Linked DNA regions of Drosophila melanogaster. The gene in region 1 interacts genetically with each later gene. Each region holds a gene or a part of one and is shown in the gene's direction. Other genes may lie near its edges. The genes, in order: osk, SmD3, nanos and Hrb27C.

What was found.
Region 2: of osk (region 1) and SmD3, changing one suppresses a phenotype caused by changing the other (phenotypic suppression), as found in Drosophila melanogaster (one study listed by BioGRID).
Region 3: of osk (region 1) and nanos, changing one suppresses a phenotype caused by changing the other (phenotypic suppression), as found in Drosophila melanogaster (2 studies listed by BioGRID).
Region 4: of osk (region 1) and Hrb27C, changing one enhances a phenotype caused by changing the other (phenotypic enhancement), as found in Drosophila melanogaster (one study listed by BioGRID).

The regions. Positions count from the first base shown.
Region 1 is NT_033777.3:8,932,293-8,941,096, forward strand, and holds osk (oskar), read left to right. Parts: upstream 1-2,833; 5' UTR 2,834-2,853; coding exon 2,854-3,388; intron 3,389-3,423; exon of another isoform or gene 3,424-3,507; intron 3,508-3,636; coding exon 3,637-4,054; intron 4,055-4,149; coding exon 4,150-4,914; intron 4,915-4,972; coding exon 4,973-5,075; 3' UTR 5,076-6,103; downstream 6,104-8,804. Other genes in the region: ScsbetaA (Succinyl-coenzyme A synthetase beta subunit, ADP-forming), read left to right, coding at 6,528-6,596, 7,377-7,480, 8,190-8,342, 8,407-8,569, 8,630-8,804. UniProt on the Drosophila melanogaster protein: Organizes the germ plasm and directs localization of the posterior determinant nanos. Oskar protein is required to keep nanos (nos) RNA and staufen protein at the posterior pole.
Region 2 is NT_033778.4:12,165,268-12,172,063, forward strand, and holds SmD3 (small ribonucleoprotein particle protein SmD3), read left to right. Parts: upstream 1-3,463; 5' UTR 3,464-3,609; coding exon 3,610-3,928; intron 3,929-4,290; exon of another isoform or gene 4,291-4,457; coding exon 4,458-4,594; 3' UTR 4,595-4,736; downstream 4,737-6,796. Other genes in the region: CG34232 (uncharacterized protein), read right to left, coding at 1-244.
Region 3 is NT_033777.3:19,153,898-19,162,286, forward strand, and holds nanos (nanos), read left to right. Parts: upstream 1-3,340; 5' UTR 3,341-3,603; coding exon 3,604-4,075; intron 4,076-4,618; coding exon 4,619-5,088; intron 5,089-5,161; coding exon 5,162-5,425; 3' UTR 5,426-5,712; coding exon of another isoform or gene 5,713-5,808; 3' UTR 5,809-6,305; downstream 6,306-8,389. Other genes in the region: CG11779 (uncharacterized protein), read right to left, coding at 1,236-1,900, 1,968-2,505, 2,569-2,649, 5,713-5,808; Nsun5 (Nop2/Sun-like domain containing protein 5), read right to left, coding at 6,336-6,766, 6,830-7,327, 7,893-8,142, 8,219-8,341; CG42359 (uncharacterized protein), read right to left, coding at 7,455-7,853. UniProt on the Drosophila melanogaster protein: Maternal RNA-binding protein that is required for germ cells proliferation and self-renewal. Acts by forming a complex with pum and brat that regulates translation and mRNA stability.
Region 4 is NT_033779.5:6,916,856-6,925,058, forward strand, and holds the start of Hrb27C (heterogeneous nuclear ribonucleoprotein at 27C), read left to right. Parts: upstream 1-3,848; 5' UTR 3,849-4,006; intron 4,007-4,110; exon of another isoform or gene 4,111-4,218; intron 4,219-4,404; exon of another isoform or gene 4,405-4,585; intron 4,586-4,783; exon of another isoform or gene 4,784-4,943; intron 4,944-5,875; exon of another isoform or gene 5,876-5,879; 5' UTR 5,880-5,971; intron 5,972-6,928; 5' UTR 6,929-7,050; coding exon 7,051-7,545; intron 7,546-7,829; coding exon 7,830-8,203. Other genes in the region: x16 splicing factor, read right to left, coding at 2,669-3,087; nop5, read right to left, coding at 43-307, 486-1,756. UniProt on the Drosophila melanogaster protein: This protein is a component of ribonucleosomes. Could be needed to organize a concentration gradient of a dorsalizing morphogen (Dm) originating in the germinal vesicle.

The DNA.
Region 1 (8,804 bases):
TTAAATCTTTTTTTTAAATAAAGTCTTTTCTACAGGGCAAGCAACGTCTCGTTGACAGAAGCGTTTCCAAGCTGATCGTTGTTTGTATTTGTAAATTGTGTTTGTATTGACATTGCCTTTGACCTTTGCTAAAATATTAAAACCCTTAAATAAACAGTAAATCAAATAAATGTGATTTAAATTGTAATGAAGTATTATTCTAAAAAAATGTAAGATACATTTTTAAAACTTTAAAAAATAAACACTTAAGGTGCACGCAGGCATTCATTATTTTTGAAAATAAATATCCAAAGTGACTGGCAGCCTTCCGTCAAGACAGCTTCGAAATTACCATATCGTGTGGGCATAATGAGGACTTTCTTGGGGTTCAAAAACCGGAATCGGAAGCAGTCTTACGGTCTGCGACACCTAGCCTTGATTAATTGCCAACCGGCCACACACTCAGCCAGATGCTTAGCCGTTTATCTCGAGTGTTTTGCCATTTTACAATCTGTTGGCCAACCTGTAACCGGTCATCATAAAGGAGTTAGCCATGCACTGTCCAAAAATTGATTGTAGACCAAGAACTTAATCTCGAATTAAGTTAACTTCATATTCCAATCATTCCAAACTATTACAAATCGAAATGGATTGATTGACTAGAACGATCTTTCCGTATATTTTATTTATTTTCCGTTTTATTTTTCCGTTTTTTTCTTCAGTGTGTTCCACATCCATAGAATTACAGCAGGGCTCTAATTACGTGTGTTTGAATTGCGGCGCCCTGATTAAGGCCCTTTTGCAGGGCAATCAATCGATTTGCTGCGGAGTAATAATAACAGATGTTAAGCCAGACTCTGGAAACGGATAAGGATAATTACTGGAAATTAGTGATGGAGCTGCCGCCGAAAGGCGATCAGATTCAGTTGCCATTGGGGTGAACTTCTGGTTAATCGTGTGCAACGCAATCAGCATTCCTGAGATTTTCCGCCTGTCAGCAGATTAACAGGTGTCTCTCCGCCCCACCAAAGTGAGGCAATAGCTAAATTGTTCGCATAAATTGATTACAATAATTTGCCTATCCCCCAACATTTAGCCGCCCTCTGCGAAATGAATTCGCTGCTGGTAAAAATTCTAAGACAGCAGACAGAATAACAACAAGTTGCTCCGTCGGCTTCCATAATTTATGCAGAAATGCAGTCGAACCCAATGAAAAGTGTCGTTCACAAATCTAGGCGGTAAATTGCTTTTTGCGATTTCCAATGCACACCCACCACACGCAAATGCAAAAGTTGTCAATCAAAAATGGTCGTCAATCATGGTAGTAGTTGTTAGAAAGGAAGAGAGTAGGAAAATGTCTTTAAAAATATTAAACAAATTTATTTTTCAGTGGTTACTTCCTACAATTACGCTTATAGAAATACAAGGAAGGTTGCCAAATACCATAAATATATGTATAATTCCTTACCTTACAATCGAGTGACCACTGTAATTCTTAGCTGGGAGTAGAGAGAATGAGAGAGGGCCTGGAATGCAAATTACTATTATTACCGGACAATTGCCCTGTGCTGTGCGAGTGCATTCAAAATATTTGAAACACCACCCGAAAAGGGAAAATTGAATGGCAAGAAAAGCCGGCTGATTCATCCCACTCTAAATTATTGGGCTTACACATTCAGCAAATAAAAATGGGAGAAGGGTCGAGATTTATAAATTGGACCACATGTTCTCGCCCAGTTTTTCTACATACATATAGTATTGTATTGCTCGTCACGTCTCTGCAGCATCCTCTGCAATTAAGGCAAGGCTAGGGAAAATATACAGTCCAACATCTATAAGGAAGTACTTCCCTAAATTACAGATAGGTTGTAGTGGCACTAACTATTGCCCATTCTATATATATTACCCTTTGAACCCATCAACACCTTATTGAAAATTATTTTTTTATTATTCTGATCTGCTAGTTAAGTAAAATTTTTACTGATTTAATTTTTGTAATTTCTTGCTGGTACGCATTACTGATGTTTGACTGTATCCAACTTGCTTAAGCTAAGAAGCCATAATCCTCCTTCCGATTGTCTGTGCTTCTTCCGGGGTGCCGGAATCATCACGAGATGTAAGAAAGCCCCTGAGTCATCCATCAATCGCTGGACTAACCCTCAGAGCAAGTGCCTCCATTACCCTTCTCGGAGTTTCAGGTGCACTTGCTGTATGGATGGATAATCATCTCCTGGGGAATTGCTGCCAAGCAGCTCCATTTGCCGATTAGCCGACAGACCACCAGAGCACCACCGCACGTGGTAACGCTCGTCGGCACCATTTGAGTTATTCTGGAATTTATGTATATGCTACTTCGTAATTGCTTATCAAGCAGCTCTGCAGACCCACTGGCGTGCTGTTTTCTAATCTGGACCAAGAGAAAGGCCATTAAAACGAATGTCCAGCTGGAACGGAGTGCAAACTGCTTTGTGTAATGGTCGTCAAATGGCAATGCAGGTGGTAATTTCGTTTAATTGTTTTTACTGGCTACGTAGACTGCTTTGAATGTTAACCTAATGGTGGGCGAATGGGAACAAATTGATAAAAAAATTAAAGAAAATGAATATATATATATATATATAGGTTCTATATTAGGTTCTGAAAACAGTTTTTTATTTTTTCAAAATTTTTTGGTTGTACCACCCTAATGTATTTTCACAAATTCTGTTGATCTGGAAACATTATCTCTGCAAACTGCTCACCGTTACTTCTGTTGCGCCTGCTCTTTCGCCTTCCAGTACGAAAAGCACCGTAAGTCTCCAAAATGCAGATGAATGGAGAAGTGGACCGCGTTGGCGAGGGATCCAAGAATATTGGATCACTTTCCTCCAAGCGATGGCCGCAGTCACAAGTGAATTCCCCAGCAAACCGATCAGTTATACCAGCACCAATACTTCCGCCAAAACCTATTATCTTAAGTCCGTGAAAAAGCGGGTGACCACGTGTTTCCAGCAGTTGCGCGATAAACTCCAGTCATCCGGTTCCTTTCGCAAGAGTTCCTCCAGCTGCCTCAACCAGATCTTCGTAAGGTCCGATTTCTCCGCATGCGGCGAACGCTTTCGGAAGATCTTCAAATCGGCGCGAAAAACCGAATTGCCGGAGTTGTGGAAGGTGCCATTGGTGGCCCATGAACTCACCAGCCGGCAGAGCAGCCAGCAGTTGCAAGTCGTAGCCAGACTCTTCTCGTCCACTCAGATTTCCACCAAGGAAATCACCTACAACAGCAACAGCAACACCAGCGAGAACAACATGACCATCATCGAGAGCAACTATATATCCGTGCGCGAGGAATATCCCGATATAGATAGTGAGGTGCGCGCCATATTGCTGAGCCACGCCCAGAATGGAATCACGATATCGAGCATCAAGAGTGAGTAGCTTTATGTTTGAAAGCTTTCTTCTTTCCAGAAGTTTCGACTTCATCAAACACTTCAGAACTTTCTCTAAGTGGCTATATTTAGTTAGAAATCTAAAATGTATAAATTTTTAGTAGGTTATTAAATTTTATTTGGATTATATAACTTTTATAGTTTAGTATATTTATTTTAATTTATATTTTTTCTATGTTTCTTTTTTGTAAGATTACCCTTAAATAATTCTATAATTGAAATTCGCCAGGTGAATATCGAAAACTGACGGGCAATCCATTTCCACTGCACGACAACGTGACGGATTTCCTGCTGACCATTCCCAATGTGACCGCTGAGTGCAGCGAGTCCGGTAAGCGGATCTTCAACCTGAAAGCGAGCCTGAAGAACGGTCACCTCCTGGATATGGTGCTCAACCAGAAAGAGCGCACCAGCGACTACAGCAGCGGAGCTCCGTCCCTGGAGAACATACCACGAGCACCTCCACGCTACTGGAAGAATCCCTTCAAACGGAGGGCTCTGTCCCAGCTGAACACCAGCCCGAGGACCGTGCCCAAGATAACGGATGAAAAGACCAAGGATATCGCCACCAGGCCGGTTTCGCTGCATCAAATGGCCAATGAGGCAGCGGAGTCGAACTGGTGCTACCAGGATAATTGGAAGCATCTGTGAGTACTGAAAAGGTGTTTTGTAGACAGTGCAACTATAGCAAAAATAAACCTTTACTTAACAAAATGTACTAATCTTTCTACTGAACTCCTAGCAACAATTTCTACCAGCAAGCCAGCGTAAATGCGCCAAAAATGCCAGTACCCATCAACATCTACAGCCCCGATGCCCCAGAGGAACCAATCAATTTGGCTCCACCTGGGCATCAGCCAAGCTGCAGAACCCAAAGCCAGAAAACCGAACCGACTGAAAACCGCCATTTGGGCATCTTTGTGCATCCATTTAACGGCATGAACATAATGAAGAGACGCCACGAAATGACGCCCACGCCAACGATTTTAACCAGTGGAACCTACAACGATTCTCTGCTGACGATTAACTCGGATTACGATGCCTATCTGCTGGACTTTCCGCTTATGGGCGATGATTTTATGCTATATCTCGCCCGAATGGAGCTAAAATGCCGATTTAGGCGTCACGAACGCGTCCTGCAGTCAGGACTTTGTGTATCCGGACTGACGATCAATGGCGCCCGAAATCGTTTAAAAAGAGTCCAATTACCCGAGGGTACTCAGATCATCGTCAATATCGGATCGGTGGACATTATGCGCGGCAAGCCTTTGGTTCAGATCGAGCACGATTTTCGGCTACTGATCAAGGAGATGCACAATATGCGATTGGTGCCGATTCTAACAAATCTTGCACCGCTGGGCAACTATTGTCACGATAAGGTATTATGTGACAAAATCTACCGATTCAACAAGTTTATCCGAAGCGAATGCTGTCACCTAAAGGTCATCGACATACACTCCTGTCTAATCAACGAAAGGGGCGTGGTGCGATTTGATTGCTTTCAGGCGTAAGACTTTATACCATATACCATATCATATGAGTTTACGATTTGTGCCACTTTTCAGCTCACCACGCCAAGTCACCGGTTCCAAGGAACCCTATCTGTTCTGGAACAAAATCGGTCGGCAGCGCGTACTGCAAGTTATTGAAACGAGTCTGGAGTATTAAGTTGGGTTCTTAATCAAGATACATATATGCAAATTTTGACTGGGCTGGCACCGGAACCGACAAAATAAGAACTTTTTGATGATTTTACGATTTACGCTGATGGATCGCTGCTTTTACGGAATTCGCTTAGTTTTAATATGTTTTATATGTAGTATGTTCTCTGTCTTTGTTTATTTATATGTTCGTGCACTTGTCCTAGTCCATTATTGTATATTATTGTGTGTTTTGTGTTCTATGTTAGATTTAAACTTCTCAATTTTTCGCTGTCTGTGATTTGTTTTGCCAATGCCATTGATTTTCTGCACACTTTTTGCTGCTATCCCAAAAGCTGTGTAAAATAATCAAATGCAAAATAAGCGCAAGCAGCTGAAAACTTCTCTTCAAACTTTTCCGCTTTTCCCAAAACCATTTTGCTTTGAAATCTGTTTTTACCAAATCAGATTAAACTGCAAAATGGAACTTAAATGCAAATCATTGCAATGCTTATAAACTGTTTTTTGTTCTATATACTTTTGTGTGGGTCAAAATTCGGCATGCTCCTGTATCACACAACCTGCCACTTGCCCTTAAAAAGAAGGGCGCAGTGGGCGTGGTACGTATACATATGAGCCATGCTGCATTTTGGCCGTAATGAAAATGCACTGCTTTACTTGGAAAATTCGCTTGCACAAAATCAACGCCGCGGCTGATTTATTATTGATGTGCTCAAGCAAATTCAAGTGAAGCATTTGCGCGATTTTCGTCTTTCTGTTTCCGTTTGCAAAAAAGTTTATAAAATGCTTACACTCTGCTGCAGACACGCCAACCGGAAGTGCGCACTAAGCGCTTGTTTGTAGCACAGTGTAGAATTCTGGCGTAATTTACAGCTCTACTTTAAAGTCTTCTAGATAGCTATCTACTATTTATAAACTTATTTATTGTCTTGAATGTATGTTAATTGTATGTATTGATGGTGATCACGTTTTTTTTGTCCTATAACAAGCTGCAATGTAAAATCCAAAAAAAAAATGAAAAAATAAAATAAAAGGGAAATCAATGATTTTGTTTGCTCTAAGCTATGTTCAAAGTAACTGGGAACTAATCGAACTAATTTCGATTTAAAAGTGGTCTAGATTATATTGTGACATTTGTGAATATATTATTATATTTGCGAATTTATTATTATCATAAAAATAACGGTAGTTGAAAAATAATTTAGATGGCATGCAATATTAAAAGTTCCCGCCAAATTGGCTTGAATCTTTGCTAATATATTACAGTTTCCAACCTTGCATTAAGTTCACGATAGTTTTTCGGCATTTTCGATTGTAAAAGCATAAAAAAGTCCCTGCTATCGAAGCTCTACCACCTCCATCAGCAGGCGACGGCAAAAAAATCTTGAAATGTAAGCAGTAACGTCAAAATTCGCTTTCAAATCGTTAAACGTACGTTCTCATTCGATTTCAGAACAAAATGGCTTCATTCTTGGCACGAACTGGCGGCCCCCTGATCGAAACCGTTAGGCCAGCGGCCATAAAAAAGGTGAGTTCGCCAATTAGTAGTCATATTTGTGTGTAAAAAATGCGAAAATCCGTCGCTTTACATAATAAGGCGAAAAGAGAGAGTGAACACCTACGCTGTCCCCTTCTCTGTCTCTCACTTACTCACACATGTGAAATGCTGATCGTTTATCGGTACAAAAAAAAAACTTAAGCGATAATTTAAGTTCTTTGCCATTTGTTAACTAATTGTTTCTCCAGAGAAACGGGGAGAGTGTGAGATTTAAAGAGAGTCACGATCACCAAAGACACCTGACTTTTTTATTGTGTCAGTGTGACGCAACTGTGCGCTTTTCGTACGCATGTGTGTGTGTGGGGACCTTGAAAGCCCCATTTATTCCCCCACTTAATTTAGTTTGTTTTTTATCAATGAGCAGCTGACAACTGTTGCTTATCGTTTGTGGTTGTTGTTGCTGTTGTCGCCGGGCCCTCTAATTAAATTCTTAATCTGTGAATTAGTTTCGGTTATCACCGGGAAACGCCGTTAGCCGGACGAACTTGCTCTTAACCCAGATTTCGTTTCTTTTCGCCGCTTTTTGTTTATGTTTTTTTCACATGAATCACCGAACCAGTTTTTTTATGTTTAATTTTTGCTTGACAATGACCTCGTGACTGGAATTAAGATTTCATTTATAAGTACAATAAGTTTCGAAATCGTTTTTATTTTCATCCTTTTAAATATATTTTTAATTATTTTTCTTGTTATCTTTAATTAGCATCTAATTTTCGCAAATTAACATGGCAAAAATTCCAACCTTTTCAGATTCTTGGCCTGGCTCCCATCGCCGTCCAGCAGCTGAGGAACCTCAATGTCCAGGAACACGTTTCCTACAGTCTGCTCAATGAGGCCAAGATCCCAACACCTCGGTGAGTAAACCCAATCGGAATTATCAAAATCGCGGGCAAACAACCAACAATTTGCGTCAAAGTCGCAGTCCAAAGTTCAATGAAAGTGCCGCGTTGTCGTTGCGTCGTCTGTTTCCTTTGGCTTATGTGCGTTTTGGACTTTGCCTGAACTTAATAATATGCATTGAGTATAGCCGACTACGGGGTAAACAAACCAGAGAAACGCAGCCGCCGATGATAAGGGTGATAACAAGTTTTATACTATAACACACTTTGATCGGCGTAAAGTGACAAGGGTCAGTGACGTGGGCTTTGATAAGATGGAAGCGGCATTAGTTGACGTCTATCATAATTAAACTAACTAAATATACATAAACTTTGGGTAAAGAAAATATATTTTAATGTTTAAAATACCTGTAATTTAAATTTAAGCAATTGCAAAGCTAGAATATTTTGATTTCCATTTCGTTTGATAAATTGAGATTATTAGAATCAAAAGATAGTAGTTGCTTTTGCTATTATTCAGGTAAAATCAGGCGACTGATTTATTTTCTAAATGAGGGCTTGTCATCTCTCGAATGACCGAATAACCTTGTCTCAACTTTCAACCTTTGTGGTCTACTGATAACACGATTTACGTGAAATGTTCCTATCAACAATCAATCAGGAACATCGTAAAGAGCGCACCCCCAAAATTATTTCGCGTACTGAGTGATTCATTTTTTTGCAGTTTCGCTGTTGCCAAGAACGGCAAGGAGGCCAACGATATCGCCACCAAGCTGAAGACCGATAACCTGGTGCTGAAGGCTCAGGTTTTGGCCGGAGGACGAGGCAAAGGAACCTTTAAGAATGGCCTGAAGGGAGGTGTGCGAGTGGTCTACGAGTAAGTTGTGATATATGTCTAATATCTGTGTGGTAAAACATAAAAAACAAATCTTACTCCGCAGTCCCCAGACCGCTGAAGAACTTTCAAGCAAAATGATCGATCAGCTTCTGGTCACCAAGCAAACCGGAGCAGCCGGTCGCATCTGCAAAAAGGTGATGGTTGCCGAAAGGAAGTTCCCCCGCCGTGAGTTCTACTTCGCCGTGATGATGGAGCGTGCCTTTAACGTATGTCTAATAACCATGCATTCAACCCTGTGAAGCTATAAAAGACGATTCAATTTCCAGGGTCCCGTGCTGATCGCCTCCAAGGAGGGTGGTGTTGATATTGAGGAGGTGGCTGCCAGCAGTCCAGATGCCATTTTGTACGAACCCATCGATATAGGCACTGGCTTGACCAGTGAACAGGCCGAAAAGATCGTCAAGAAGGTTGGTCTGGGCGGCGATGGCGAGGACACACATG
Region 2 (6,796 bases), on another chromosome or scaffold:
GCCTGGCCTTTCGCTCAGAGTGATGCGCTTGATGCTCCTTAACGTGGGAACCACCATGTTTCAGACTATCATGGCCCGAATGCCTCACCTCCTGGAGCTTTTGGTGGTGGTGGTGGTGCTGTTGCGACAACTGGCGCTTGTGGTTCAGATGATGGGTTCGCTCATTGTCCTCCAGTGGCTGCATGGCCATGGCCACGGCCACCAAGATAGTGGCAAAAACGATAATCTGCAGCGGGCCAAACATCCGGAGTAATCAAGGTGAATCGATGGGTATTGATAGTAAATTAAATTGAAGCCACTTTCATATCTGAACCGGCGATTAGATTAGGTCCGCCCCTTGGAACCACACACTCACCGCCTTCAACATGATAGCTTCGGTATAGGATATGGACTTCAATGCCTTCTTCTTCTTCTGTTTCTGCGATGCAAAGCTCTCGGATCGTGTAAACCCGGCGACGCTCCAGTCTCGACTGTTTTTCGGAGACTCTTCCGCCGCCGTTTATATCGTTATCTCCTCATGCGAGTGCCCACAGCCCACAGCCCCTGGCCACCATATCACATAGATGGGGTATATATGTAAATATATTCGGCATGTTTTATCGTTCATTTAATGGGCAGACAGACAGACGCACAGTGGAGTGAACAGCTGTTGAATGATTTTCGGGCCAAGATTAGCTGGGAAAGTACTCAAACCTCACAGTTCTTTTCAAAAATATTACCCAAAACTTTACAATTTAATCGGAAAGAGTAGTCAACTTGAGATACTATCTATCAGGCTCATCAAATCATAGATACAGATACAAAGCATAACTCTCTGTAAGTTACTATATATGGATTGGTTAATATTCTTTAGAAATGTAGCTATGCTTTTGAATCATTGAAGCCAAAAGTGCAATAATTACATTTAAAGCTTAATGTGATCATGACACTTTGATTTTTAAACTGGCTCTTCATTTCAATGAATGACTGCTGAAATCCAATTGATATTGGCGATGATGTCAAATCTCACGCTTTTTTTTATTAATTTAGGAGCCCCCGTTTTTCCAATAACTACTTATCTTCAAGTGACAAACTGTGCAGACTTATCTCTAACAATCGTATTGGGTCACTTTTTAAACAGTAGACGAAATACATATAAAATCTCTCTTATCTGCGAAAGGAAGGTGAGGCAATTGGGTGTATAAATTTAATCATAAGTCTCGACCAAGTTCCACTCGAGATACTTTCAATAAACAATAATAATGCGCACTAAACGCGAGCGTCGTAAACGAAATAATTTAATAATCCGGCCGACAATTCAATAATTTTGTTAAGTCATATGTTTTATTATTGGAATCAAGAAAATGATACATACAAAGTGGTATAAATAAAAGAACTGCTTTCGCTTGCTTGCTTGCGGTGTGGAATCTATTGATTAATAAGTTTATTAATATTGGATATAGCGTGTATGTGGATCCTTTTTGCTGATCTATGTAATTAGCTTCTATGCATATGCGTTTCCCTTTCTATCCTTCAAAACTTCTACCTCGCCGTTCTCGTCGCTTTCGGCGTACAAAAAGTGAATAAAAATATATTGAATATTTTTAAGTGCGAACAAATTGGGATTACAATACTTCATATATAAGCTTAAACATAAAATATATAGAAAAAACATGAAGAAAATATATATGTTGATTAGACATGAAAACATAAATAAAAAATATTGATTCACGAATAAACTTAGGATTAATACATTCCTTTGTTTTGTTTTGTTTTTTTTTTGACATTTTTTAGTTTTCTACTTTTTTTTACGTTTTCGTTCGATTTTTGTTGTTGTTGGATATAGTTTAATATAGTAATTTGCGATCAGGCTCTTAACGTGGCTGGCCATAATTGAAAGTCTACCAAAAATGAAGCCGCTCCGAAGACAATTTTCAAAACGATTTTCGACTACATAAACAACGCGAAGATTCAAAAAGGATTGATTTGCTGATTTTCACTGAACACATATTGAGCTCAATATGTCATTGTATCTACGGCTGGCTAATAAAAGTTATTTGCGGAAACTACGAAACAGAATATTGGATTGCTACTGATATTACTTCTTCTTTGTTTCGTTTCTGTGGCGAAAATCGTCCCCTTGCCGACGAACTACTCCTCGATGCTGTAGAGGAAGTAGTAGTTCTCGTTGTCGTTAATGGCAGCCGGCGGTGCCTGCGGTGCCTTCCTGGACAGCGGCTCGAAGCCCATGAAGAGGAACGCCTCGATGAGGCGAGCTCGATCCGGCTGATCTTTAGGCATTACCATAACGATGCCGTCCACCTCCAGCTTCTCCTCGGCGAACTCCAGAAGCGAGATGAAGGTCTGCTTGGAGCCGGCCGGAGGAAGGTCCTTCGGTAGAGCGACATACAACAAGTTGTTGACTGGGTTCAGAATCGTATTCCAATTGGTGTACTGGTCCTCGGTGACATGCAGCTTGATGGTGATCTGCACCGGCTGGTCGTGCTGCAAGATCTGGCGCAGCACTTCCTGGCAGTCATCGTCCGAGCACAGCGAGTGGATGTCGGGCTGCGACTCCAAGTCGGAGCAATCCGACTGGGAGGACGACAACGACGACGCCCGGGAGCTGGCCTCGTACAGGCTGCCACCAGCCGAGTCGACCGAAGACTTACGGCTGTAGCCTACACGGAAGGAATTAACACATTTTAGCATAATAAGTACTTAAATGGTTAGTTATTATTACTCACCCGTCAAGAGCGATGCCCTATCGTGATCTGTTCTGTGGTGGACAGGGACATCAGGACCACCACAGAGGCCCTACGCCGAGAGAGATGCGGTAGGACTCCGAGGACATGGTCGTGGCGCAAGACGAAGTCGAGATGGTGCGGAGCTTGCCGTCGGCAATTCCGCTGTCATTAAATTCTCTTCTAACGAAGCCACTACTAAACACTGGGTCGCTGTGGAAAAAAAATTGGGTATTTAGTCAAAAAAACCCCATATCGAACTGCGATGTGCCTGTTCGATTTTGTAGCGCAACTCCATCTGTTGGAAAGTTTATATCCCCTTTTTAATGGCAAGCATATAGCGAATATTCCCATGTTTTTATAAAGATTATTTCCCATTTACAAATTACTTATGTGAATTATGAATTGAATTTATAAACCCGAAATCTTTACCACAACATGGTGTAGAGTAAAACTCAATTGGTAACTGAACGTCGCAAAAGCTGCTAACAAACTGATGGCCACGAAGGCAGAACGAAAGGCTTATCAGCGAAGCGGCGACAATTTAATTATTTCGCTTTTATGACGCTAACAAATTGCAGTTGTTTATTTTAAAGCGATAAGATACGCCCGCGCGCCTTATCGGCAAACCGATAAGCTGTTTCCGATAGTCACGCAGCGCATGCAGCCCTGCGCTCACGCACCACCAATTTCACCACAAGATGGCCGCCGGCAGCTGTCAAAGCGGGAGCGAGCACGCAAACACATACACTCGCAAACACTCGGCATAAACGCTTGCACAAAGAAAAACGGAGAAAAAATTTAGCGGTTTCGGTGGAAAAAAAAACAGTGAAAAATATATAGTTGAACGAACAAGAACAGACAGCAACACACCAAGCTAGCGAACATGTCTATCGGAGTGCCCATTAAAGTTCTGCACGAGGCCGAGGGCCACATAATCACTTGCGAAACCATCACCGGCGAGGTGTACCGCGGCAAACTCATCGAGGCGGAGGACAACATGAACTGCCAAATGACCCAGATCACGGTGACCTACCGAGACGGACGCACCGCCAACCTGGAGAACGTCTACATTCGCGGCTCCAAGATCCGATTCCTTATACTGCCCGACATGCTGAAAAATGCCCCGATGTTCAAGAAGCAGACGGGCAAGGGACTTGGTGGGACGGCGGGACGGGGCAAGGCGGCCATTCTGCGCGCACAGGGTGAGTTGGGCACTTTGGCCCACACACACACATACACATTCACTTTTTGCACGGACTGCCTTTAAAAACAAAATATTTTCTATGCTCTCGTTTAACTTCTAAATTTAACTAAAATATTTGCTATCCCAATTTAATAATCCAAATACCATACAATTTTTATGATAGTAAAAAAAATGGTAGTAAAATTTATAGAATTTAATATGTATAAATAGTGCTACAAAAAATATATTAATGCAGGGTTTAGTTTGTTTTAAAAACTGAGCTGATAGTTTTCGTCAAATCATATCCCTCCCATTTAATTCATTAATTTCAAAATTTAAAGTATTAACGTATGGGTAAAATAAGAAACATGCTAAGGTAGTAAGTTTGTGTATATGTTTATTTTTAGAAAGCAAAAACTAAAAAAAAAAATGTTATAAAGCCATGTGCAGTGAAATCTAGAAATGAATTTTGTTTTTAAAGACAGTCGTGCAGTGTATGTGAGGCCCTCAGCGAAATGCAATTATTAAAAACGACATTTCCCTTACAGCTCGTGGCAGAGGAAGAGGCGGACCTCCGGGCGGCGGAAGGGGCACTGGTGGACCGCCAGGAGCTCCCGGCGGCAGCGGCGGACGCGGAGCATGGCAGGGAGGACCAACCGGCGGTCGAGGACGCGGCGGCCTGTAGGAACTGCCTACTGAACAACGCATTTCTATTCTCTAAGTTGCGGGCATCATATTATTAGCGGGCGGGTCGAACTTCTCCAGATGTTTTTTGTAAAGTATTTATCGGGCAGAGCAGCCGAGAATACACTTGAAACTTGAATTTGAAAGAGGCAGACGTTGTTTGTTGTCTAAGTAAAGTAAGCACCTGAAAGGTGGGAAGGGATTAGACACCATAACCAGGGGGACGCTCACAAGTTTGGCTTAAAATTAAGCACTCCAATTCGATTCATTCGATCTTATAATCGTCGCCTTTCGAATGTTATACAAAGAGAGCAATTCCATGACAGTATTACAATCGGTCTTAACTTGACTGTCGACGGATAGCTCTCTTCATTTCACAATTCGCGGAGGATCTGAAAGCGGAAATCTAAGCTAACACCTCAACGGACAGGACACAGTGTTAGGCCAGACGAACTGAATGTGGAACTTGGGTTTAGTCGTTTGGTTAGTCTCATTGCCTCACAGCGCATCGTCGAATATTATACAAAGAGAGCAATTCCATGACAGTGATATTAAATAGTTTCTGGACTGTCGACGGACAGCTCTCTTTATTCACTTATTCGCATTTGGATTCGATTTGGTTCGTTCTAGGTGTTAATCAGACATTCAATGTGGACAGCACAGATACATACAGATACCTATATACTATATAAATGCTTTCCACACATTGTACATACATATGTACATTTGTGTATTGTTTGCCGGCAGACTACGTGCGAAATATGCCAGGCATTTTGTTGTTATGTTGGTTTCCTTTCTGCCAAGCCAATTAAATCAACAAACTGCGCACTTGGCAGAGCATTGTGAATTGAGCGAAATAGAGGCCTGAATGGGAACAGTGACCACCAGCAGCAGCAGATGGATTGGATGCATGTGGTTCAATGCCTAATGAATGCAATTTATGGCTGTGTCTGGGGGTGGGGGGGTTTGTTAGAGTAATAATTCCCCGAATCGATGGCACGTGTGCAAGGCAATTGAAAATGCTTTCGCAATTAATAAAAAAGATGGGGCTATGCTGACGTACCACAAGATTTTCTGGTTCTCGTTCTGAATCTTCTGGTTATCTGGCTGCGCCACCATATCGCTAGACGTCGTCATTGCCAAGTTAAATATTTGGTCTCCGGTTGAGATTTATCACAGCTGCAGTCTACTATCTGTCTCCTGGTATGTGCTCTTTATCTTTTATCACAGATTGCGTTGCTTCGGTCGGTCGGTCCTTCGGCGGAGCTTGGAACTCACATCGAAAAGATGTGGCGATTGGATATCTGTGTGTTATGTGGCGGCCCGGTTTCCGTGCCTCTCCTCCACTGGCGATGTGGAGACTGCTCGCTGATGATCTGTGTGGTGCTGTGCTCTGGGCGTTTGTCTGGCGACTGACGACATCCAAACGGTGGCGGCATCATTTATCTATCTGATTAAGTAGCAGCGACTAGGAGGCCTCACGATATATCTACATACACGTACATACATACATACAAATGTATAATAGCCTAGTTCTATCCGACAGATATGCAAATGTGCCGGAGAGCACGGGTACAGTCGACCCGGTCGGTCAGGGGATGTGGATCTGAATCGGGGTGCGGTGTGAGTCAGAGCCCCAAGGTTAAATGGAGCCCCCTACTTCCCACAAAATACGGGTGAATCGCTAAACAAATAAGGCGCAAATAACTATAAGCAAAAATGCCGGCACACGTAGCATTTGCATTCACAAAGTCGCAATGGGCAAACAAAATAAACGGAGAGAGCTGCCGGCTATAAATATCCATAAAAATTAATATACAAAGTCTAAGAGAAATTCTTTTTTTTTCTGTGGCGCTATTTCAGTCAAAAACATCACCACATTTTTTAGGCTGCACGTGTCTGCCGCTTTTTTTTCGAACAAATGTACCAAAACAAACGAAATAAATGGCTAAAAATGGCTAATAATATTGGCGATAAGTCCCATAAATAAAAGTCTGCTTAATATAAGCAGAGGTATGGACCTAAAGCGGGGTAGAAATCAACGTGAAGAGTTATCTTTATTCTTAATACATATGTATATGTATACAGGTACATACATACATACGTAGTATGTAAACGAACAGCAGAGGTCATCTCAATAACTACAAACGAATACTAATAAAAATACCATTTATCGACAATAAACTGGACTTTATAATTGCTG
Region 3 (8,389 bases), about 10 Mb from region 1:
TGCTATTTTGAATAACGAAGTGGGTCATGAATGAATTCTGTGAATTAAAAAATCAAATACTTATAGGCTTTTTTATGCTAATTATTCATCAAATAAAAATGTCTCTAATTTATAATCACTGTTTTTGTCACAAACATCAAAATATTTTTCAAGTTTTTGAGATACATGAATCACATGCATAGAAAACAATGACTACTTAGGTATTTGCAAACATTTTTATTTGAGCAACAAACTATTTTCTCCCTCAAAACAGCAAGTTTATACTACTTATTAACCAAGGTAAAATTAAAATGTTTTACAACTGTCATCGGAAAATAAAGCATTCCATGTTTTAAAAACACCCAATCGAATGGATTATGTAAAAGTATTGGATTTTTTTTATTTTGCCCACTTAGTAGCAAGTGGCGCTTACGGATGCCCGATCCATGGGGCAACCATAAACTTGGATGTCTGTGATTAGGGTAAGGAAACATAACACTTATTTCACAAGAATTCGCCAGCTGCTTAAATGGTACATGTAAAAATATTGAAGTATTTTTATTTTTCTAGACATTCTGAGTGGCGCTCGATGTGTACGTACATACAACTCTTTGGATTCTGTGTGTACAGTCAATTTACGATGCCCAAGCCGCCCTGAGCGAATTCCATATTTACAAGAGAAGGGGGTGGGGATTGGGAGGGGGGGGGGTGTCGGAAAGGGTTGGGGCCTTAAAATACCTAAACTCAACTACACTCAACAATTTGCTTATGGTCACTACTTATACGCCTTATACACCGGCGGTTGCACTTTAAGCTTCAACGTTATAGATTTGGCCAGGACACCAGCGGAGGAACCACGATCCCGACGGCCAATCCCCGCACCGAACACTCCTTCCGTGCTAGCCGGAAGTGGATCGGCGGTGGGCGTGGCCGCAAGGAACGGCCAACCGGGGCGTCATTTGGGATATGAGCCGCGCCGGAGCCGGCAGTCTGCTGTGCCCGGAATTCGTGGGGGAATCGTTCACGGGACCGACCAGCAGCCCCTGCCGGGCGGACGCAGTTGACTAGTGGCGGACAAAACTTTCAAAGCAATCGAAAGCGAAACCTTTGTACACACTTAATAGATTCCTGCGGGTCGAGTTCGTGGTCAGTTCGTCGTCAATGCTCAGTGTCCAGTAATCTTTTCGTTTGTTTTTTGGATGAGAAAATGAGGGAAACTTAAACGGCTCGGTAAAAAAGAAAGGCGTGGCAGCGCGCTAAACAAATTGCTCTGAGCTGTTGGCGGACAGCTCCATCAGCCGCCAGGCAGCCTTGGGGTTGAGTTCGTTGCGGTCGCGGCACAGCACCCAGACGTAGTGAACCCGCATCACCTTCTCCGGATCTCCCTCGACGACCTGACTCTTCTGGTCCCGCACGCACATAATCTGCTGGGCTTGGAACGTGATAATCAGTACCGGGCCCTGCTCCATAACCTTGCCCATTGCCAGTTCAATGTTCTCGATGTCGAGGATCTTGGAGTCCAGGTACACGCCGGCCTTCTTAGCCTCCTTAATGGGATTTGCGATAATATTGAAAGTGCTCTCAAAGCACCAATCCTTCAGAATCTCCAGATCCCCACGGACAATCGATTCCAGAATATTTGGAATGATGTCCGTTTCGCAATCGCGGAGGAAATCCTTCTGATCAAAGCTCGGATCGATTTTCACCAGCTCCGTCATCGTTTCCGAAAGCTCTGTCTTTGAAAAGAGTCCACCCATGACGTCGGACACTTTATCGGTCAGCAGGCGGGAGGCACGAATAACAGGGTTCTCGGACTCGTCGTATTTAACCTTCCAGTCAAGCACCTTGTTCACGTAGGTATTGTTGTTCTTGAAGTTCTCCCACGACTCGTAGAACTTGGAGTCCTTGTGCAGCTCCATACCTGAAAAGTAACATTACATTATGGCCATGACCTTTGATCTTATTGAAGGAAAAAGATGGAGACTCACCAGTGGCTTCCGTGTTGGGCTCCACAACGCGATCACTATCGCTCATGACGAGCTGGACGCGCTTTCGCAACTTGGCAGGAGCACGATAGACACGATTCTCTATGCTCGCGCTGTCCATCTCCTTCTTGATGGTCGTCGTCGTGTTAGAGATAGCCTGGAATGCGCTGGTCTGGCCCAGCTTGCCACTGGTGTCGGAGATCGTGTCGCTGACCCCCCTAGCCTTCTTCGAGAGCTCCTCGGTAACCTTTTTGGCCAGGTGGGATTTGCTGGCGTCCTCCAGAACATCGCCTACGCGCTCCTTGATGGCGCCCAGCTGCTCCTTTAGCATGCTAGACGACTTTTGCGCCTCCGATTCGACAATGTTAAACTTTTGCCGCGCCGATTTCAGGGCATCCGATTCTTCCAGCTTCTGGGCCTCCTCACGGAACTTTCGGATATTGTCCTTGATCTCCTTGTTCTTATCCATCTCCGCCTTCATGTTGTCGAAGAACTGCGAGAAGAAGCCGGCCCTGCGACCTGGCGCACTATAAAAGCGGGGCTGCGGAGTAAAGTCATGACTTAGGCCGGTTGCGCCATGGGGTTTTATGAGCCAAACTCTAACCTGCTGCTGCTGCAGGTTCTGCGAGGCCTGCTGGCACGTGAAGAGACAGGCGCGATCCCGCACAAGGGCAGCTATTCTGTACTGCAAGGAGAAAAAATCATTGAAAGCTTCGACCGTTTTAACCTCGAAATATGCACATGTAAGGACGGATGTGAGCGAACGCCAGTGATGACCGGGATCAGAGGTAACCTACCATGGTGGGGATTAGGTGACCGTTCGCAGGTAGTTTGATCGGAGCGAATGTTCGGGGGGTCTGGCGTCAGAGGCTCTAAACTTTATGTAATTCCTGCCGCGAAACACGCACGTATCAAGCAGTCAGCTGTTCTCTTCGTTCAGCGCGCGCCGGTGTTGCAAAACGAGCGCTCTTCGCCGGCGGTGGCTCGTGCGATAGTTCGTTTTGTCGGTAATCCGATGTTGCCGCGCCGATATCATGTGATGTTGTCACAGTGCGCGAAATTCGAATGGTGGTGTGCAGTGATTGTGTTGTGACGGCGAGTGGCGCGTGTGGGTGCTTAGTTTTGGGAGATGTTTTCGTATTTTTTTGTTGATAACTCAGGCTTTGTTGCTGTGTTGTAGTACTATTTTCCATTGCGCGGTGTCCAGCTTTTAATTAGTGGCACATATTCTTAGCAAGTAAAAATTATTTTGCATACTATTAAATTTCTTATAAATTATTTTCTAAAATTAAGTTTACCTTTTCAATTTTACTAAAAATATCGATATATTTATTATCGCTGGAAAACTACATTATTCCACCTCTAAGCAAGAACCGTTAGTTGGCGCGTAGCTTTACCACAAAATTCCTGGAATTGCCGTACGCTTCGCAGTTGTTTCAAGTTGTCTAAGGGACATACGATTTTTTTTGCCTCTGCGTCACGATTTTAACCCAAAAGCGAGTTTAGTTACATGTACATTATTATTAGATAAAGAAGTATCGCGAATACTTCAGTTGAATAAACTGTGCTTGGTTTTTGGGTGAGGATTTGTGGAAAGTAGAGTGCGCGATAACCGTAACTTTCGACCCGGATTTTCGCCATGTTCCGCAGCAACTTGGAGGGCAGTGGCGCAGCAGCAGTAGGTGTTGCAAATCCCCCCTCGTTGGCTCAGTCTGGAAAGATTTTCCAATTGCAGGATAACTTTTCTGCTTTTCACGCCAGAGGAGGGCTCAACATTCTGGGCCTGCAGGACATGTATTTGGATACCAGTGGGGCCAACTCGTCGGCCACTTTGAGTCCGCCCATTACGCCGGTGACCCCTGACCCGTCGACGTCTGCGCAGTCGACGCACTTCCCTTTTCTGGCCGACAGCGCAGCCACCGCCAATTCGCTCCTTATGCAGCGACAGTACCACTACCACTTGCTGCTCCAGCAGCAGCAGCAACTGGCCATGGCGCAGCACCAATTGGCGCTGGCTGCATCAGCGGCAGCGGCTAGTGCGAGTCACCAGCAAACGGACGAGATTGCGCGATCCTTGAAAATCTTTGCGCAGGTGACGACGGGCGCAGCAGGTAAGAAGAAATGGCGAATATGGCGTCGTTTAAAACAGAATAGCCAAAAACAGTGCGCGGGAGCGAGATGACTATCTGTACAAGTACAGTTATGCCAAAGTCAATGGCCATGGGCTTAGTTAAAGGGGCAACGAAAGCACAGAGCAAAACAGAAGTAAAATTGTGTAAATGTATAATTGCTGCAGAGGTCAGAGGATTTTCGCCATTTAGTGTAGTATATTTTTTATTTTACTATTTTGTATGTGCTTTAAAATATATCTTTGCCCAACACTTGTATCCCCTTCAAGAGGTTTTTCGAGCGCCCCTGAATTTTCGGCCATTGACCTTAGCATTTTCGCTATTCCTTTTTGTTTTAACTTCGGAAAGCCATTTTGCGTCTTACATTTTCTAGAAGTTCTTTGCTTTTTCTCGTCTGTTCTTGTTTTTTTTTTGTATGCAAAAACTAATCCGTATTTGCTTATTACATTTCTGAAATGCAATTGAAACGCGAATAATAAAAAAAATACGTTCAGGACAAGGTAATGAAAAGCTTGCTATTCCCAGAAAATGCGGCTGGCTCGATGCAGGATGTGATGCAGGAGTTCGCGACCAATGGCTATGCCAGCGATGATCTCGGTCGCATGTCCTACGGGAGTGCTCCGCCACAGGTGCAAATGCCACCGCAGCAGCAGCATCAGCAACAGCAGGGGCTGCACCTGCCACTGGGCCGCAATCCTGCCCAGCTGCAGACCAATGGCGGCAACTTAATGCCCATTCCACTCGCCACCCACTGGCTGAACAACTACCGGGAGCATCTGAACAACGTGTGGCGAAACATGTCGTATATACCAGCCGCTCCCAATACAATGGGTTTGCAGGCCCAAACAGCGGCCACTGTGTCCACCAATCTCGGCGTGGGAATGGGTCTGGGATTGCCCGTGCAGGGCGAACAGCTGCGCGGAGCTTCCAATTCCAGTAACAATAATAACAACAACAACAAGGTGTACAAGCGTTACAACAGCAAGGCCAAAGAGGTGAGTGGATCTGATCCAGGATTCGCAGAATTAAAACTTGCAAAATATATTTGTTATCTTGTTTCTCCAACAGATCAGCCGCCACTGCGTCTTTTGTGAGAATAACAACGAACCAGAGGCGGTTATCAATAGCCACTCAGTGCGAGATAACTTTAACCGAGTGCTGTGCCCCAAACTACGCACCTACGTGTGCCCCATCTGCGGGGCATCTGGGGACTCGGCGCACACGATTAAGTACTGCCCCAAGAAGCCGATCATCACCATGGAGGATGCGATCAAGGCGGAATCGTTCCGCCTAGCCAAGAGCAGTTACTACAAGCAACAGATGAAGGTTTAGAGAGGGCGAATCCAGCTCTGGAGCAGAGGCTCTGGCAGCTTTTGCAGCGTTTATATAACATGAAATATATATACGCATTCCGATCAAAGCTGGGTTAACCAGATAGATAGATAGTAACGTTTAAATAGCGCCTGGCGCGTTCGATTTTAAAGAGATTTAGAGCGTTATCCCGTGCCTATAGATCTTATAGTATAGACAACGAACGATCACTCAAATCCAAGTCAATAATTCAAGAATTTATGTCTGTTTCTGTGAAAGGGAAACTAATTTTGTTAAAGAAGACTTACAATATCGTAATACTTGTTCAATCGTCGTGGCCGATAGAAATATCTTACAATCCGAAAGTTGATGAATGGAATTGGTCTGCAACTGGTCGCCTTCATTTCGTAAAATGTTCGCTTGCGGCCGAAAAATTTCGATATATCTACAATTGATCTACAATCTTTACTAAATTTTGAAAAAGGAACACTTTGAATTTCGAACTGTCAATCGTATCATTAGAATTTAATCTAAATTTAAATCTTGCTAAAGGAAATAGCAAGGAACACTTTCGTCGTCGGCTACGCATTCATTGTAAAATTTTAAATTTTGACATTCCGCACTTTTTGATAGATAAGCGAAGAGTATTTTTATTACATGTATCGCAAGTATTCATTTCAACACACATATCTATATATATATATATATATATATATATATATATATATATATATGTTATATATTTATTCAATTTTGTTTACCATTGATCAATTTTTCACACATGAAACAACCGCCAGCATTATATAATTTTTTTATTTTTTTAAAAAATGTGTACACATATTCTGAAAATGAAAAATTCAATGGCTCGAGTGCCAAATAAAGAAATGGTTACAATTTAAGGAAACAAATGTCCTTCTTGCGTTTGAAACAACTAATCCTTTTCGCCCTCGCGGCGTTTCTCGAAAAGGGCCAGGAAGATGCCATCGGTAAGATCACTGTCCGGCTGGCAATACAGGACGTTCTTGCCAATATTGGGATAGTCCTTGTCGCCCACATTGTGCCACTTGTTGCGCAAGGCCTTCTTGCAGCTGAGCAGCTTGAAGGATGGATTTAGCTGAAGACAACGCTGCACCACCTGCTCGTTTTCCTCCTTCCACAGCGAACACGTGCAGTAGGCAATGCGTTTGACGTTCGGAAAGGCGCCCATCGCGTGCGACAGGATCTTAATTTGCAAACCCTGCAGCTTTTGCAGCCGCTTGTCCTCCTTCGGCTCGTCGCACACGGTCATGCGGTTTTGCATTCCGCTGCCAGAGCAACTAGGGTCCACCAGGATGTACTCTACGTCCGGAAAGCGTTCGGGTGCTGAAATTCAAACGTGTTACTTTTTTAAATATTCATTGTGAAATATATAAATATAAAACTCACTTAGGTTCAAGGCGTCTCCCAAAATGGGTTTTACAATATCGCAACCAGCATCCTTTGTTATTTCGCACAGCGTATTGTAGCGTACGTGGTCCTGCTCCACGGAGTAGATGCATCCCTTGTTCTGCATCACATTGCATATGTGCACTGTCTTCATACCGGGAGCTGCGCACATATCCAGCACAGTGGCCCCAGACGGCGGAGCAAGTAGTTCGGCGGCCAAACAGGTGGCCTTGTTCTGCAGTATAAACCTCTTGCTGTGCACCAACGGATGGCGGACCCAGTAGTTGGACCACTTGGCAGGAAAAATGAGCACACCCTCAACGTGCAGATCGGTCATGAACTCGTTCTCCGCCAGCGATTTGATGGCAGTCAGAAAATCCGCATAGCTGGCGTCCGCAGGCAGCTCCTTGCGCCGCCAGTCGCTTTTATGCAGGTAGTCCAAGGCCTCCGCCAAGCTGTATAGATTTGTGTTGATGCGCACATATCGAGGATTGGGTTCTGTGTGGGCAAACAAAAAGACGAGTTCAAAATTGTAGCCAAAGTAAGATTTATTAAGAGTTGTTAAGAGTCGTTACTGGTCCTTTAAACGATCGAAATAATCTGGACTTGGCTGGCAGCACTTAAGTTACTGTTCTTTCTTTGGCTCCGCAGCTTCCGGCTCGTCGTCCTCATCCTGCTGCACGGGTTCCAAGGGTGGTGGGGGCTTCTCGCGGAAAGCCTTTAATACATACATGGCCACCACGAGGTTAACAACCACAACAGCCGTGAGAACTGACCAACAGTTGACCGTGAAAAGGTCCAAATGGGGGAAGGACTCCTGCAGCCAGCTGCGGACGCCATAGAAGCCCAAGAAGGGCAGCGTGAACATGAGCACACTGTAGGCCAACAGCCAGAGGAAGACCTCCGCACTGGTGTCCTCCTGCTGCGTATGATGCTCCACGGGAGAATCAATGACAGCCGGGGAATCATCAGTGGTAGCTGGCACCACATCGACATGCTGTTGTTTCCTGTTCTTCTTGCCCATCTCAGCCGGCTAATACTGGTAATCGGTGTGATAACCTGCCTTTTCGCTGGACACCGAAATCTCTGATGGAATTTAGCAGTCGATCCTTGTAACTTCGCACCGTTTGCACGGGTTTGCTTTCGCCGTTCAGCTCCTTCCTGCCAAACAGCAGTTCGGTGACTAGAATCTTGGCCAAACTGGGATCAAAACTGGGATTGTCCCTGAGCAGTCCTGTCTCTTCGATGGCCTTTTCCAGTGCCACACGATTTTCGCTAAATTTTTTCAGAACCGTATGCAAAGAGCGTGTACGCTACAAGTGAAGTGCGAGAGGGAAAAGTTATACGCATATTGGTTTGATCTGCGGACGAGAGGTCCAATCCACTTACGGCATGCTTCTCTGCAAATATTAGGGTCTTGATGCACTTCTGCTGCTCCAGTGCCGCCTTCAAAATCTTGGCAGTCGCCCTGTATTGGGTGGGAACTTTTATGGAATGCGGTTTTTTACTCATTGTCGTCACGTGCACGTGTATGTGTTGTTTGCGCTAGAATAGGTGCAA
Region 4 (8,203 bases), on another chromosome or scaffold:
GATGCTAAAACTTAAGGCCTACTAACTAGTCAAGGTGGGAAATTACTCCTGGTGCTTTGACTTTTTCTTTTTCTTTGCTGGTGTTGGCTGATCCTCGGGCTCTGGTGCTGCCGCCTCCTCAACGGCCTCCACCTCTTCGTCCTTCTGCTTCTTCTTCTTTTTCTTCTTCTTCTCGGACTTGACCTCCGCCTCCTCCTCAGCAGGTTCCTCCTTCTTAACAGGCGTCTGCTGTTCGGACTCGGAGTGCTTGCGCTTCTTCTTCACGTTCAAGGTGTTGTCGGCCTCTGGTTGGTAGGTGAACACCTCGCTAAAAAGTTAAGAAATAAATTAAATACACTGAACAATCGAGAGATAGCCTGATTGTAAACCCAATTTCGCTCAGACAGCCAAGGTTTATCGTCATCTTAATCGGATACATGCGAAACCTTTTGGGTATCATCACTGGAAATCTGTTTACTCTTATATAATTGACAGCTAAAACATACCTCTTGGCCTGGTACTTCTCGAACTTGGCCTTGGCCTTGCCGGTGCCGGAGAGTTTGCGCAGGTTGCCCTCCTCCAGGAGTCGCAGCCGAGACTCCAGTTTAACCTTGTGAGCCGCTCCTAGCTCAAAGGTAGCCTCTTCGCCAAAGGCATCAACACGCGTGGCAAGCGACGCTTTGGCGGCCAGTGAACGCGACATTTTGCCCTTGTTCTTCTGGCTTGCCTGTCCCACCAACTGGGCGTGATAGATCAAACCGTACTTTGGAGTATCCTTCTTGGTCTTCAGCGCACGGAAGAGTGCTTTCTCGGCGCCCAGAATTTGTACAGTAGATGAGGGATGCTTGGCCAGGTTAATCAGCGAGCCAGCATGGGCAATCAGTCGAGCGCCGACGGTGTCGCCCACGAGCACTGTCAAATTCGGAGCCATGGCCATCATTCTGGCCTTCAAGTAGTCGTACAAGTGGGTGCGGTAATCGTTGATCGATATGATCTCGTCGCACAGACACTGAATGTTCAGCACATCCTCCTCGGAGATTTCGGTACCCATAGAGATCTCAGCTGCCTCCTTGACCTTTTCCTCCACATCTTCTGGCAGAATGTCGGACAGATCGCTTGTGGCCATATTATCCCTGGTGCCCACCAACTTGATGGTCTTCACGAAGGCAATGTTGTCGGTAATAATCTTGCCCAGCTCGGGAAAGTGCCAACCGTACCACTCGCGTGCACGCATCATGTAGTTGTTCAACTCCTTGTCCAGGTCATCCAGCAAGCACTGGGCCTGCACAATCATTGTGTCGATCTTGTCGGGCGAGAACTTAAGCTTGTAGCGCGACAAGGAGTGGGCAAGACCCAGGGCCATGGCGGTCATCTCACGCTTGGGCAGACCACCAAGCAGACTGTCCGCCTGCTGGCGAATACAGCGCATCAGCTCCTGGACGCCAGTGTTGCAGACACACTGTACCGACAGTTTGTCCTTGATGGCTGTGCCCAGTTTGGCATCGGCAACCAAGAGCGAAGACTGCACGTCGTCAACGAGCAGCTTCTTGAGTGTCTTTTTCAGCGGCTTGGCTACCTTGCCCTCCACCGCCGCCGTTGCAGCGGCCAGCGCCTCTGTGGTGTCATTGAATTTCTCAAAGTGCTTCAGCTTCAGCAGCTTGTTGGCCTTCTCCGGAGTCTCAAACTCCTGGTACAGATTGTCCACCTGCTCCAGTTTCTTTTCGTCCAGCAGCTTGAAAATCGCGTAGCCCGCCGGCGTTTCGTAGAGCACAAACATCGCGTTACGCTCTGCTCATTTAGTTTCAATTTTAATTCAATTTAAAACCACCGAAACTCTCGGCAGCCAGCAGCAACTTAACCTTCTTTTCCGTATGCCGCGTGTAAAAGAAAAATCCAAAATGAAGTGCAAGCACGTGTGCCTTCGGTCTACGGCGTTGCCACTTGGTTCGCGCATAACAGCACCACTGTAATTAATTCACCACGAACGTAAAAGCGCGGGGAAAATAGCGTAGGAGGGTGTCTTGCAGCCGCCTGCTACCCTTTTGTTTACCACTTATTTTAATTTGTCTATTTCTAATCAAATCAATCAAACTTTAATATCAATATTAAATATATTAGAGGACTTCGCTAAATCATTGTCACGTAACTATTTGTAAGCTTTTGTGCAATTTACGGACAAATTCTTGTGCTCAAGAGTATAAAATATATATATTTTATATATTTATTAATCACGAAAGTGTTTACATTTTTACAATATATTAGACTTATAATAGTCTATATAATAGACTTAAAAACAAAATTCTGTTATTACTATCTGAATAGATAACTACTGTTGTCAAGCATGATTTTGTTAGACAATTGTAGAAGCTATATACTTCTCATATCGATATTAATGGGTATGCCACCCGAGCACGTGTGCGTGCTGTTATGGTACAGAACTACTTCATGCGCTGGGATTAACAGCACTCATTGCGCATAACAGCACGCTGTTAGTTTTAACAGGCGACAGAGGTGCCCAAACAAACTCAACATTTTTGCATGCGCATACACACAAGCATGCATGTATGTATGTATGCGTTTGTTTGTATGTATGCCTTTCTCTCGCCATGTTACAAAAAGCAAGAAGTTTTTGGCAACGACAATGAATGAAAAATTGAAATGGCGAATTGCAAATGCGAATTGCGCTTACCTGCGTCGCTGCCTGGCCTTCCTTTCGCGACAGTGGCGAGCGAAATGCCCCCGTCCGCCGCACTCGTAGCACTTATCGTCCCCACGACCACCGCCGCCTCGGTCGCGTCCTCCGAGTCCTCCACCACCACCGCCTCCACCACCTCCGCCACCACCACCGCCGGACCTAGCATACTTTCCGGTGGACAATTCCACACGGGCTCGGCGCCCGCAAACCGTCCGTCCGTCCAATCCGCGCACCGCATCCGCCGCATCGCGGGCACTCTCAAACTCCACGAAGGCGAAGCCCGGCGGATTGCGGGCTATCCAGACGCTGCGCAAACTGCCGTACGCTCCAAATACATACTCCAGGTCGTTCTTCCGGGCATTGTTGCCCAGATCGCCCACGTACACCTTTCTATCGCTCGGATGGCGCGACATTTCTGTTTATTTCGCTTTTCCCCGGGCCCAAATTAATGTGGCAGCAGCGCAGAAAAAAATCGATGATGGGTTGGAATCACTTGCCACCGCCTTCCTGGGCACTTTGGTCGGTCAATCGCGCACTGGCGAACACTTTTAGTCACTTAACACGGTCGGCAGATGCGAATTTTTGTGTTTATTTTCTATTTAATGCAGCGCAAAACTCATTTTACCGGGTAGCAAACAGAGTGACCGTGGACAGACCATTAAAAGAAACTGCGGACTCGCTAAAAATATACCAAAAGTTATGCTCAATCCGCGGGTAACGGTCAGCAAAAGGCGGGAGTGTCTGGCAACAATAACTTCCAGGGCCGAAAAATGAAAATCTAAATATTTCCTTTTCAACTCCTACGAAAAAAATACTCAAAATTATTTTTTCCTTTCAAAACATTCCATCCGCCTAAAGAAAGCGACTATAAAACCTTTTTTAGTATAGTACATACAAATCATATACACACATCTTATTACATTTTTCACCTTTAAGATATTATTGTACTGCACAATTACATTTTAATGTAAATAATTTATAATACATTTTTTTAACCAGTCCCCTTTAACTTCCTTTATATTTAGCCTTCGTGTTAAAAGATAGATATAAATTCGTAATTTAAATTTGTTTTCTAGTATCTGTTAGATTCAGAATATATGTGGAGTATGTTTTAGTATATTCCGTGCAACTTGAGGTATTTTTTTTGGCTGGCGGCGGTCACACAGCATTAAACGTGGCGGCGATTTATCATATAAGTTAGGTTATAATATCGTATGCATCAAAATCATACAATTATTTATAAGCTAGTTTTTTAAGGAAAAAACACTTAAATTTAGTGAATTTGCAGTGCGAAATCTTTAAAAAACCACAGACGAACACTTGGCACAAACGGTAAGAACGAAAAGCGACCGAAAATCGCATTTACATAACAATTACAGTGCTTTAACAAAATGCCTGCCTAGCCTTTCCTTTCCAAAAAAAACGCCTGAATACTTGACGCAGCTGCCATTGCTCGGTGTGCGCGTGTGTTTGTGTGTGGGGTAAAATTGGCTCGATTCGTTCGAATCGTTTCTTCGCCTTTTCGGATTTCTCGACAAACAGAGGTTTGTGCAATTTTCAGCGATTTTTCGTGCCACTTTCGGCACTCTATTTCCACCCATCAAAGTGGAAAATTTCATATTTTTATACATACATACGAAAAAATGCTATGTATAACACCACACCAACGATCACGCACACCATTGCACAGCGCTCGGCGGCCATTCGCGCACACACACGCTCTCACGCGCACACACGTACGGCCAACTCATGCACTCACACACGCCAGCAGATTGCGGTGCAAAATACAAAAATCGTGCGAAATTCGTAAAATTGCGTATTAGAAATCTTGGTTAATTTCGCTCCTATTTCTCCGGCCCGAAAGCCCAAGTGTCAAAAGTGTACCCGGCGTGAAAGTGCATTCGTGAATTAGTGAGTGCCCCATCGATTAAACCGCCTGGCTGGCCAAACAAAACGAAAAGCGTAAAAATACAGTGAAATGCGTTTGTTCCCTTTTCTAAGAACTGAGACCCAAGACATTTCTTGAGACTTCTTTGTTGTATCATTTTTCATAAGGCACGTCTTCCATTTTGTTTTTTTTTCTTCGTTGCCTTTGCCGTGGTGAATTTCCCACACACTGCCAGTGCGATTCATTCAGTTCAGTCGTGAGTACTCAGCCAGCAACAACAATAAAACATTAATCGTTTAAAGCTGGAGGAAAACTCGAAAAAGAATTGTTTGTTTTTTCTTTCGATGGAATTAACATTTATTTTGAGGGCATTGGTTTTTGGTACGTTTGCTTTTCGCTTTCCATTCGCGTTCACGTCACACATGGCGTTGCCACATGTTTTTTCACTTGTTAATGGGCAAAATGTCTGCGAAGTGCTGCCAGTAAAGAAAACGGGATTTTCTTGATAACAAAGTGAATTTAAACCCGTTGTTCATTGGCGTTTGCACAAAAATTTAAATATACTCCTGTAGATGTTTACTTGGCCCACATCTGGCTGTAATCTGTAATACCCTGGCAAATGGCGCGCAAATGTGGTGAACCGGCGACAGCTCTCTTTTCACCTTGGAAATACATAAGTTCGTTGTTCTCATTGATAGGCGGCATGTGTGCTGGTGTGTGAGTGAGGCTGGGGATTTGTTACAACAACAACAACAACAACCATTCCGCTCGTGACACAGCGAAAAGAAAACAATACTTTCACGTAGCCGTTCAAAAACGAGTGAAAGGGGATGAGAGTAGTGTTGGGGTGTCGAAGGAGGAGCAAACTTGTGAACGTGTACAAAAAGCAGTTAGACGACAAACACACATACACGTGTACGGCGGAATCTCTTCAGCTGCGTGTGTTTGTGTGTATGTGTACCGGCCGGTTGCTTCTGCCGCTTTTTTCTCTTTTTTTTTTTTGTTCCTACCTGTGCCTTTCATAATAACTATGCGTGAATTTTTTGTCATCTGACCATTTCTACCCATTCGCACCAAAGATCTTTACACAGCAAGAAATATTGTCTCCGAAGGAAATGTAAATTTAAAAAAATTTCAACCATAGCCCTGGCCTTTAATTTTAATAACGTCAGTTTGCAAATAACCAAATTAACTATTCCACCTTGTTTTTTCCTGTGTAGCAATTCGATTAACCGGATTTCTTATATTCTATGTGTATCTTTCCATGTGCCTGCAACAAAAACAAACCGACGACATCGATATTGTTACGATAGAAAGTTACGTGTGAACGTCGTGGCTTTTGTTTAATTGTTTTGAAGGAAAAAAGAACTTTGGCAACGTTGAAACCAACCTAAGATATTGCCCAAAAAGTAAGATATTGCCCAAAAGTAATTGCGGATTTTTCATATAGTCGGCGTTGACAAATTTTTTCAACGGCTTGTAACTCTGTAATTGCATTCTTTCTTTGGTCAGTTATCAGCTGTTACTTTTAGCTTCCATTAGAAAAAAAAGTGCGCGAAATTTTGTTTTTATTTGTTTGTTTGGCGTCAATTTTAATATGGAGCCCACAAAGGAGCATTTTCGTCATATCTTACTTTATTATTTCCGTAAAGGAAAAAACGCGGAGAAGGTTGCTAGAAAGTTACGAGAGATACGATGGTATGGTGATGAAGCCTTAAAAGGAAGACAGTGTCAAAATTGGTTTCGCAAATTCCGTTCTGGAGATTTTTCACTTAGAGATGAGCCACGTTCAGGCCAAATGAAGTTGATGATGACCAAATCAAAGCATTATTATTTATCGAATTAGATCGTCATGTAACTTGAGCGTGAGATAGGAGAGAAGTTAAATATACCAAAAATCAACCGTTCATTATAAAAAGTCTTGGACTGGTGAAAAAGCTTGATATTTGGGTACCACATGTATTGAAAGAAATTCATTTAACACACCGAATCAACGCTTGTGATAAGCACCTTAAACGCAATGAATTCGATCCGTTTCACTTCAATGGCTGATATCCACCAAAAGAAGGTTATGCTGTCTGTTTGGTGGTATTGGAAGGGTGTCGTATATTTTTAGCTGCTTCCAAGGAACCAAACGATTAATTCGGATGTTCGCCAGAAAGATGGCAAAAGATTATCGAACAATATATTTGATTAAAGTTCATTCGAAGTTTTATTAAAAATGCATTTACTTTCATTTACAAAATCCGCAATTACTTTTTGGACAACCCATACATAAAATACATACAAACATAAATACATAAAAAAAAACACAAAAAAAAAATACCAGCAGCAGTGTAAAAATTGTATATTCTCCCCCAAAACAGGCAACCAACCGAACACAAGTTAATTTCTTTGCACCCCGTGTTAATAAAAAAGCGGCAAGATTACGTCAATTATTGAGAACCTACCCGGCGCCATAGCTCACAACCACAACCAAAACAACATCATGGAGGAAGACGAGAGGGGCAAACTTTTTGTGGGCGGTCTATCCTGGGAGACGACGCAGGAGAACCTGTCGCGCTACTTCTGCCGCTTCGGGGACATCATTGACTGTGTGGTGATGAAGAACAACGAGAGCGGCAGGTCGCGCGGCTTTGGCTTCGTTACCTTCGCCGATCCCACCAACGTCAACCACGTGCTGCAGAACGGACCGCACACGCTCGACGGTCGCACCATCGACCCCAAGCCGTGCAATCCGCGCACTCTGCAGAAACCGAAGAAGGGCGGCGGCTACAAGGTCTTCCTGGGTGGCCTGCCCTCGAACGTCACCGAGACCGATCTGCGGACCTTCTTTAACCGCTACGGCAAGGTCACCGAGGTGGTTATCATGTACGACCAGGAGAAGAAGAAGTCCCGCGGCTTCGGCTTTCTCTCCTTCGAGGAGGAGTCCTCCGTTGAGCACGTGACCAACGAGCGGTACATCAATCTGAATGGCAAGCAGGTATGTGATCGCTGGAAAGTTGTGCTATACTTACAAAACATAATTACCTATTTCTGCGAAGCATCTAGTCTTGCAAAACTATAAATTGTGAATATGGAATATTCATAATTTTTTTCGATTTACTAAACTTTGTTTCATATAATACAAGAGTGCTATTTGTAACAAAACATATTGGAAATAATTTTTACTTAAAAACGCTCAAAAGAATACACTAACAATTAATTGTACAAAGAATATAAGTTAACATTTTTGGCAACAGCACTAATAATCATTATTATCCCCAGGTCGAAATCAAGAAGGCCGAGCCTCGTGATGGATCTGGCGGCCAAAACTCCAACAACAGTACCGTGGGAGGCGCCTATGGCAAGCTTGGTAACGAGTGCAGCCACTGGGGACCGCACCATGCTCCCATCAACATGATGCAGGGCCAGAATGGCCAGATGGGTGGACCGCCGCTGAATATGCCCATTGGAGCGCCGAATATGATGCCTGGCTATCAGGGTTGGGGCACCTCGCCGCAGCAGCAACAATACGGCTACGGCAACAGTGGCCCAGGATCGTACCAGGGATGGGGAGCTCCACCAGGACCCCAGGGACCACCACCGCAGTGGTCGAACTACGCTGGACCTCAGCAGACGCAGGGCTACGGCGGATACGA